Pelodiscus sinensis: one gene and its partner. The protein of the gene in region 1 interacts with the protein of each later gene in a pairwise test. Links are inferred from orthologs where the notes say so. Each region holds a gene or a part of one and is shown in the gene's direction. Other genes may lie near its edges.

The links. The genes of interacting proteins can lie anywhere in the genome.
Region 2: the proteins of ALAS1 (region 1) and POLDIP2 interact in binary tests that used the Homo sapiens proteins (3 or more experiments, as listed by UniProt). The two-hybrid records come from large-scale screens. The link is inferred for Pelodiscus sinensis from reciprocal best matches to the Homo sapiens genes ALAS1 and POLDIP2.

Annotation. Positions count from the first base shown.
Region 1 is NC_134721.1:42,255,981-42,260,561, forward strand, and holds the start of ALAS1 (5-aminolevulinate synthase, non-specific, mitochondrial), read left to right. Parts: upstream 1-1,094; 5' UTR 1,095-1,252; intron 1,253-1,834; 5' UTR 1,835-1,851; coding exon 1,852-2,074; intron 2,075-3,548; coding exon 3,549-3,767; intron 3,768-4,581.
Region 2 is NC_134731.1:416,481-421,061, forward strand, and holds the start of POLDIP2 (polymerase delta-interacting protein 2), read left to right. Parts: upstream 1-1,586; 5' UTR 1,587-1,673; coding exon 1,674-1,831; intron 1,832-2,297; coding exon 2,298-2,379; intron 2,380-2,785; coding exon 2,786-2,883; intron 2,884-4,581. Other genes in the region: vacuolar ATPase assembly protein VMA12, read right to left, coding at 1,265-1,460. UniProt on the Homo sapiens protein: Involved in DNA damage tolerance by regulating translesion synthesis (TLS) of templates carrying DNA damage lesions such as 8oxoG and abasic sites.

The DNA of each region.
Region 1 (4,581 bases):
AACCATCTTGTTAGTCTTTAAAGTGCTACATAGTCTGATGTAGCTGAAACAAGAAACAGGACTAACACAGCTACATTTCTATAACTAATCTTCAACAAATAGCTTCCCACTCTTCCTGCATCTGTGATCTGGACTTAATAGAAGGTGACTATCTCCCTCCAGTACATAGGCCTACCTGGCAGTAGGGTCAGGTGCCATATTCCACCTGTGTGTCTTGCTGTCCAATCTTAGATCTACACGTGGCTGATGGGATAGTTTGGTGGGAGAAGACAAGTATCTGTCCCCAACATCTTTCACCCTGAAATTCCAAACCCTTTAGTGACTAGCAGCAGCGCTTGCACTGTCCATGCTCACAGAGCTGTCTCCCTTTCGCAGTTAGGGTGTGTGTAGACTACAGGGTTTTGTCAAGAAATGTGGACTTCTGTCGACAAAACTATACCTGTCGCTACACTACCGCCCAGTCCCGTCGACATAACTCGGCAGGAAACCCCATTCTACGAGGAATAACGCCTGTTGCGCAGGGAGGTCTGGCGACAGAAGGCGTTCGAGCAGCTACACTGTCCTGTGCATCCACACTGTGCGGGCGGCAAAGAGCTTGCTCTGTCGCAGCGGGGGGGAGGGGGGGTAGTCTAGACGCTCCCAGAGCCTGTCCTCCAGACGTACCCTAAGTAAAGCGGGCCCTGAGCCCAGCCTCTCCCCCAAACATGCCCCGGGAAGGGGGCAGCGGGGCCCTAGCCGGGGGGGCGATTCCCAGACCCGTTCTCAGCAGGGAGCTGCCTGTATGACGCCCCGCCCCACTGCCAGGCAAAGGCTGAGTCCCGCGGGCCGGGGCACGGCAGGAAGGGGCCTGCGGGCTCCCGAGCCAGGCCCTGCCGCGCCAGGGGCTCGTGTTGCTCCAGCCGGCCCGGGGCGAGGCGCCCGCAGCGAGAGCTTTCTCCTCAGCCCCGTTCCTGGGCAGGCGCGAGGCGCCTTCCGTTCCCTCGGTCTGCCCCGCCCCCAAACGGCGCTGCGTCACTTGGCCCCGCCCCCCGAGCGCGCAGGCCGGGGGAGGGGGGCGGGGCGAGGGGGCGAGCGCGAGCGTCATAGCGTAGGTAGGCGTCGACGCGCGTGCGCTCCCGCTGTGTGTCCGGGCAGGGGGACAGCGGGCAGTCGTCCTGTTGTGCGCCTGCGCGGAGCGCGGGGTGGTTATATAGGGAGCGGCGGCCTGAGGCGCTCGCGGAGGGACTCAGGAGCAGCCGGACAAGCGGCCGAGGCGAGTGGGGCCCCGGGCTGGGGGGAGAGCGCTCCGGCCGCGGCTCGCCCGGGCAGGGCAGGGCAGGGGGGCGGGTTCCCCGACTGCCGGCTCCGGTCCGCAGCGCTCGGGCCCCCCGCCCGGGGACCCGCCCCGCTGAAACCGGGGAGGGGTCTCGCTGCCCCCCCCCCCCGACATTGGGAAACCCCGTTTGCCCCTCGGCGTTGCCGGGCACCCTCCCCCTCCCCCCCCCCCCCGCGCGGGGCCGGCCCCGGGTGCGAGCACCAAGTAAATGGGGGGGGGGGGGGGAATGCTTGAGCCCGCCCATCGCAGTAACCTCCCGGTCAGTCCGTTCCCTGCAGCTGCCCCTTTAAACGCTCCCCCTCCCGCCCCTTCCTGTGGGCAGCCTGGAGCGCAGCCCCCTCATCGCCCACCCTGGTTCTGATCGCTCCCTGGGTCTCTGCTTCATTCATCGCACCGCGGGGCTGCCACTGCGCGGCTTTCCCCCCGCGGGGGCTTGATTGTTGTGTGTGTTATGCAACCTGGCAGTCTTGTAGGTAAGACATTATCTAACGCTGTTGCCGTTTCTGCATCTTGCTACAGGATCCAAACACCCGAAAATGGAAACTGTTGTTCGCCGCTGCCCGTTCCTGTCACGGGTATCCCAGGCTTTTCTGCAGAAGGCTGGCAAGTCGCTGCTCTTTTACGCTCAGAGCTGCCCTAAAATGATGGAGGTTGGGACTAAGCCTGCTTCCCGTGCCCTGGGTACTTCAGTTGCTCACTGCCAACAGGCCGAAGAAACAACTCCACCTAATGACAGTCAGTGTCAATTTTGTCTTTCAGGTGCTTAAAATTATGGTAAAATAAAGCTTCCTCACCATAAGGCTTTTTAGATTGTTTAATACTAGCTCCCAACATTTTCCTTTCATTTATAGGGCTAGGAGAGGTTAGAACCTCTAAATTGCCCCTGATTTTGCTCTCTCAATGAGTGGCGTGAAAACCCAAAAAAGTTTACCAGTAAATATCTCGCTGTTGTTCTTACTCTGTATTGCTTATATACTCATTCAAATGCCTCAGGGTGTGTTGGGATTTTTTGTTTGTTTTTAAAGACTGGTCTGTCTGGTTTGTTAAGCTTTTCTTTGAAAGAAAACTACTTAATCCTGTACGATTCAGTGTTGCACTTGGAATAGGGTTATGAGTTTGGAATTCTGACTTTTGGATTTTGTAATTCATCCAAATCTTGTATGTCTTCTAATGCAATAGAAGTGTAAATGAAAACAGCTACGGTATGTAATGCACACTGAACAACCGAAAGGGAAATTGTGGGAGGTGGAACCTAGCTGTTTGAAAAACACACCACCTTCCAAAAACTAGGAATGCAGAGTATGCTATAACATTGCTATCTTACTGCGAAGCAACGGTGAAAAGGTATGCAATAAGATAAAAATGAATTGGGTCCCTGGGGCATTTGCTAAGCATACATTAAATTATTACAGGGCAACATTAAATGGATATAATCAGCTCTTGATAGCTAATTTGCATCCTAGGTACATTATTATATAATATTCCATCCTTTTAACGTGCATTTAATGATGATAGGGTTACTTGTTCTGTAACATTTGCAGGGTGCCATTTTTATTCAGTAGTTTTTCACAATAACAACCTTTGACTTATGTAATAAAAGCTTCCTGCTTAAGTAGAAGAGGAAGAACTTTAAGCACCCTGGGAACTGCCCAGCCAGAAGGAAACGTCTGGCAATTGTAACTGCCTGAACCAGTTTACTTCTAAGTGTTGTGTTCAATCTTCTCTTAACACGTGTTGCTTATCAATTTAACAAATACTTGCAAAGAAATCAATTGGATTATCTTAAAACTATTGTTCATACTCTGCAAACTAGAGCAGTGTCTGAGAGCAAAGGTCTGCTGACCATAACTATGTAATTGGTACAAATCCAGGTCAGTGGAGTTATCAGCTTATGATTTATGGCTGTTATTGACCCTGGATGAGAATTTATAATAAATAATAGAGAAGGGGCAGCTGGAAAAAGTTTGAAGTTGAAATTAAACTCCTACACAAAGCATACTGGTTCCACATAGGGGGAAGAGGCAATAATGCTGAACACTTCAAGAAAACTTGAGTTTAAATGCTAATCAGATATTGACACTTCATATTTTGTGATTACACAAGTATAGATGGTTCAGTTGCACAATTCTGAATAGCTTGTGGTTTAGCGTCAGTTGTCAGAGTTTTTGTTTTTAGGCAATCCAGTCACCTCAGTTCTTGGTTTTTAACCATTATTTTGTTTCTCCTATCTAAGAGGCCAAAAATTCCAAAGATGTGTCCCCTGAGAAAACCAATGGATCCCAGCTCCCTACTGGCCATCCGCCTGCTGTTACTAGCCAGAACACTAACCAGAGCTCTGCCACTAAATGCCCTTTCCTGGCAGCTCAGATGAACCCTAGGAATAGTAATGTTTTCTGCAAAGCCAGCCTAGAACTCCAAGAGGATGTGCATGAAATGCAGGCTGTAAGGAAAGGTATGTTTTTACGTATGCTGCAATAAACAATGAAATATAGCCTCTTGTAATACCTGGAGATAAAACCTAAGTCTGACAATAGTTATCTTATAGGCCAGAGGGAAGGCCATAGGACACTGCAACAAAAAGTCTTCATTGTAGAATATAAGAATTTTAATGTGCACATGTAGTGCTGTTTGTAATACTCAGAGGGTGCGTCCAGACTGGCAAGATTTTGCGCAAAAGCAGGCAAAAACTTGCCAGCTGTCTACACTGGCCACTTGAATTTGCGCAAGAGCACTGACTTTGTAATGTACAAAATCAGTGCTTCTTGCGCAAATGCTTTCACACTCCCGCTCGGGGGAAAAAGCCTTCTTGCAAAAGAATAATTGCGCAAGAGGGCCAGTGTAGACAGGAAAGAACTGTTTTGCACAAAAAAGCCCCAATGGCTAAAATGGCGATCGGGGCTTTCTTGCGCAAAATCACGTCTAGACTGGCCACGGATGCTTTTGCACAAAATCTAGACGCGCTTTTGCAGAAATACTTTTAACAGAAAAACTTTTCCGTTAAAAGTATTTCCGCAAAATCATGCCAGTCTAGACGCAGCCAGTTTGTGTAATCTTTCTTTATACCAACTGTTTGTCTACATGTTTTTTGTAGCTGCTTTTAGTGAGACTATGTTCTAGTTGCAAAACCTGTCAAGCTATAGCATTCTTTGTCAGTTAGCTTGAAAGAATAGCTCTTGCTATTGTTTATAAAAATTCAATGTTGTTACCAGAAAGTCTTACCAGTATATAGAACACATTAGCATTTTCAAAGAATTAAGCAGCTAGAC
Region 2 (4,581 bases), on another chromosome or scaffold:
CCTTCATGTAAGCATCCCAGGGAATCCTGCCCATCAGTTCTCTGAGGGAGTCAAAGTCTGCTCTTCTGAAGTCCAGGGTGTGTATTTTGCTGCTCTCCTTTCTTCCTTTGGTCAGGATCCTGAAATCTATCATCTCATGATCACTGCTTCCCAGGTTGTCACCCACCTCTACTTCCCCTACTAGTTCCTCTCTGTTTGTGAGCAGCAGGTCAAGCTGCGCATGGCCCCTGGTTGGTTCCTTCAGCACTTGTACCAAGAAGCTATTCCTAACATTGTCCAAAAACTTTCTGGATTGTCTGTGTACTGCTGTATTGGTCTCCCAACAGATGTCAGGGTGATTAAAGTCGCCCATGAGAACCAGGGCCTGTGATCTGGAAGCTTCTCTCAGCTGTCCAAAGAAAGCCTCCTCTATCTCATCCACCTGATCTGGCAGTCTATAGCAGACACCAACCATAACCTCACCCCTGTTGCTTCCACCTCTGAACTTAATCCATATACTCTCAATAGTCTTTTCTTCCTCAAAATACTGGAGTGCCAAGCAATCATACTGCTCTCTTACATACAGTGTAACGCCTCCTCACATAACAGTGCTCCAGTCATTCAAGTCATCCCACCAAGTCTCCATTATTCCAATCACATCATAGTTCTTCAACTGGGCCAGGGCTTTTAATTCTTCCTGTTTATTTCCCAGGCTTCTCGCATTTGTGTACAAACACCTTAGATAACCAGCTGATCGCCCTACTTTCTTCATTCAAATCAGGGATCCTCTTTTGTTGCTTGTTCCTCCTTGTGTTTCTTCCCGGTATCTGACTTCCTCACTTACCTCAGGGCTTGGGTCACAGTCCCCCAATGAACCTAGTTTAAAGCCTCCTCGCTAGGTTTGCAAGCCTGCCCTCGAAGATGCTCATTCTTCTCTTGGTTAAGTGGATCCCATCTCTTCCTAACAATCCTTGTGCCTGGAACAGAGTCCCATGGTCGAAGAAACCAAAGCCCTTAGGTTGTAAGAGTTTACAAAAGCATAATTTGGTTGCAGGCTCTGTTGCATAGATTTATCATTCATACAAAGGTCCCCACTTTGCAGCAGGTAACACTGTCCACGCCTTGCCAACAATGCTTTGGGGACCTTTCAAGATCTTTGGATGGAAGCAAATGTCCTCGTCGTGATCGTCCAGGGGCTGCGCTGGCTGGAGGCTCCGCCAGGAAGGGTCGCGGCCGAGGCTACAGTCAGCGCAGCCGCAGGCCCCGGCCCCGGGGCGTCTCTTACCTGCTTGGCGCAGGGCGCCCTGCAACTTCCGTAGCAGGCTGAAGGGGACGAGGAGGCCGGGGCCACGCCCGTCGGCCTGGGCGGCCAAGGCCGCCTCCAGCTCCGCCCGCAGCTCCAGGGGAAGCCGCTCGAGCTCCCCGCTGGCGGAGGCTGCCGCCCGCGCCAGCCGCTCCCCGACGCGCATGGAGGACGCCATCTTGAACAGGGCGGGCGGTCACATGACCATAGGCCAGGGCATTCCGGATCAATCATGGCGAGCGGGCTTCGGGGGAGGGGAAGGATGCCGGCCGCAAAGGACGCTGGGAAGGCGGCCGTTGCGCAACCGGCAGGGTTCGCCATGGTGCGGTGCATTGTGGTCTGGTGGTGGTGACAGGGCTCGGCCGCCGTTGTCCCCGCCTCGGCGCGCGGGATGTCGGGCTGCGCGGCGCGGCGCTACCTGGTGGCGGCTCTGAGCGGGTGCCGGGCCCGGGCCCTGCCGCCCCGGGCGGCCGCGAGCCACGGCCTGCGGGCGCTGTGTGCGGGGGGGGCCGGGGCCTGGCCGCCGCCGCGCCGCCTTCTCTCGTCCAGGTGAGGCCGGGGAAGCGGGGGGCGGGGCGAAGCTGGGGCTGGGGGGGGCCGGTCGGGGGGGCGGGGCGAAGCTGGGGCTGGGGGGGGCCGGGAGGAAGCGGGGGTCGGGGGGGCGGGGCGAAGCTGGGGCTGGGGCCGGGAGGAAGCGGGGGTCGGGGGGGCGGGGCGAAGCTGGGGCGGGGGGGGCCGGGAGGAAGCGGGGGTCGGGGGGGCGGGGTGAAGCTGGGGCTGGGGGGGGCCGGGAGGAAGCGGGGGTCGGGGGGGCGGGGTGAAGCTGGGGCTGGGGGGGGCCGGGAGGAAGCGGGGGTCGGGGGGGCGGGGCGAAGCTGGGGCTGGGGGGGGGGCCGGGAGGAAGCGGGGGGCGGGGGGGCGGGGCGAAGCTGGGGCTGGGGGGGCCGGCCGGGGGGGGGCGGACTGTGGGGCTGCCCCGCGCGCCCGGCCTGAGCGGCTGCCGGTCTCCCCGCAGGCACCGGGCCGAAGGCAAAGTGCTGGAGACCGTGGGGGTGTTCGAGGTGCCCAGGCAGCACGGCAAATACGAAACGGGCCAGGTAGGCGGGGCCGCGCCGAGCGCGCTGCTCCTGCCCGCGATACTGAAGGTGCCACGCAGCGGCTGGAACCTGCTGCCTCTGCCGAGCCCACAGGGCTGCCGCGCCCCGCGCCTTTCGTTGGCCGCATTCCCAGTTATCGCCCCCTAAGCCCGCTGGGCACCCTGTGCTGTCTCCGCTCTCCTCTAGAGCCCTGCAATGGAGTGAGGCTTGGATTCTTTCTTCTCTCCTGCCCCATCAATCTAGGTTGTGTCCATATCGTGCTGCTTCTTCCTGCATAATAAAAATAAAATGCTGCCTGCTTAGAAATGTGAGGTGGTTCGTCCTTTCCTTTATTGTTCATGGGTTTTAGTCTATTGGCTGTGAATTATCACAGGACTGAAGTTTATGATTTTCCCTCCCCTTTCAGCTATTTCTTCACAGTGTATTTGGATATCGAGGAATAGTTCTGTTTCCCTGGCAAGCCAGGTTGTATGATCGGGATGTTGCTTCTCCTGTTCCAGAAAAGTAAGGAGTTGGCTTTTTCCCATGCTGTTGTTATATTTAAGCCTTTTACTGTTTTTCCTGCTCTGAGGTTTTAGGAAAGAGTGGGGCAAAGCCTCAAGTGGGTGTTAAGAAGTGAGTAATTTGTTAATTGTGTAGTCAACAAAAACTGGGATGAGGCATACCTGGGAGGTTGACAAATATCTTTGATGTCCACCGCGGAACGTCCAGACTACCGCGTTGAGCTGACGAACAGCCGATCGGCTCAGTGCGGTAGCCATGTAAATTTAAATGAAGCGGCGATTATTTAAATCGCCGCTTCATTTTCCTATGCCGGGTAGTCTAATCTACATGCCTCTGTTGCTAGAGGCATGTAGTCTAGATGTACCCTAAGAGCCAGCACAGGGGTTGATGCTGGTCCCAGCATGAGCCAGGACTGAGCCAGCCTGCACGCACGCCAGCTCTTAGTGCTTGTAGTACAGAGCTGCAGTGAGGGTTGATGCTAGGTCCCAGTGTGAGTTGGGACTGAGCCAACCTCTTGGCCAGCTCACTAAAAAATTTACTTGTGAGGGGGGAGAGGAGTGTTGTGTGTAGTTGATAGCGTTACTCAATAAGCACCGGCTTATTGGTTGTTTTGTTGAATACACTATTATGGCCCTAGTGAGCACCAAACTGGGAGAAATGTGTTCATAATAAAAGAAGCTATTTTGGTATTAATGTAGACTCATTTAAAAGATGGGACAAAGGTTTCAGGAAATAGTGGTAGAATGTTAAGAAAAATATCCTTAGCTCTTTGAGGTGGATTTAGATGCAGGTTGCTGTATTGGTTCCTAGTGATTTGAGCTAGTTCATTTTGTCTCCATTCTTGGCAAGCTAAGTTCAGTTGAGCCTCCTCAGAGATGGAGCCTCCTTGTCTTTCACCTGTCTCTAAATGCAACTAATGAACCCTGCAAGTGAATCTTGGTTGATATGGGGAGGACTGAGGAGTGAACACACTGAAAATAAGGGTGGAGTGAAAGCATGAACCCAAATAAGAAGCCTAACTGATTAGTGGGACTCGTCTCAGTCTCTGTAAATTGGAGCTATCATGCCACTGACATTGTTGTTTTTGGGGGGAGGGGACATTGCTCATAATTTATTGCTGCATATGTAGGTGGTGTGAATCTCACATTTAGAGTCCTGCAAATCCACGGATATCTGTGGCTCATTTTTGCAGATGTGGATGCAGATACACAGTTTTATCTGCAAAAATGAGCTGTGGATATCCACAAATTTGCAGTTCTAGATACAAAATTTGTATCCCCACAGGGCTCTACTCATATTGACTGAAATGGAGTGACTGGAGATCCTGAAGTGTATTCACAACCTACTTTTTCTTTAAGAATGAAATTGTTGCTGGTAGCAACTGTTTATACCTTATCCATATCAGAAATGCATCCTGATGTGTGACACAACTTATTCCCCCTTTATGTACCAACTTGCTGCTGGTGTGTGTAATCATGTAGGGATGTAAGCGACTAGTCAACTACTCAATAAACATGCTTATCGGGTATTCAAGTTGTGACTCAGCTAGTTGCCCCCCCTTGATGCCTCTGTCAGAGAGGCAGTAAGAATGGGGGAAAGGCAGCTGGTTTGAAACCCGGTTCCCCCCCCCAGCACTATCTCTGTGGGGTGGGCAGGGGAGGCAGAAGTGAAGTGGGGGACCTATTGCAAGATGGGAAT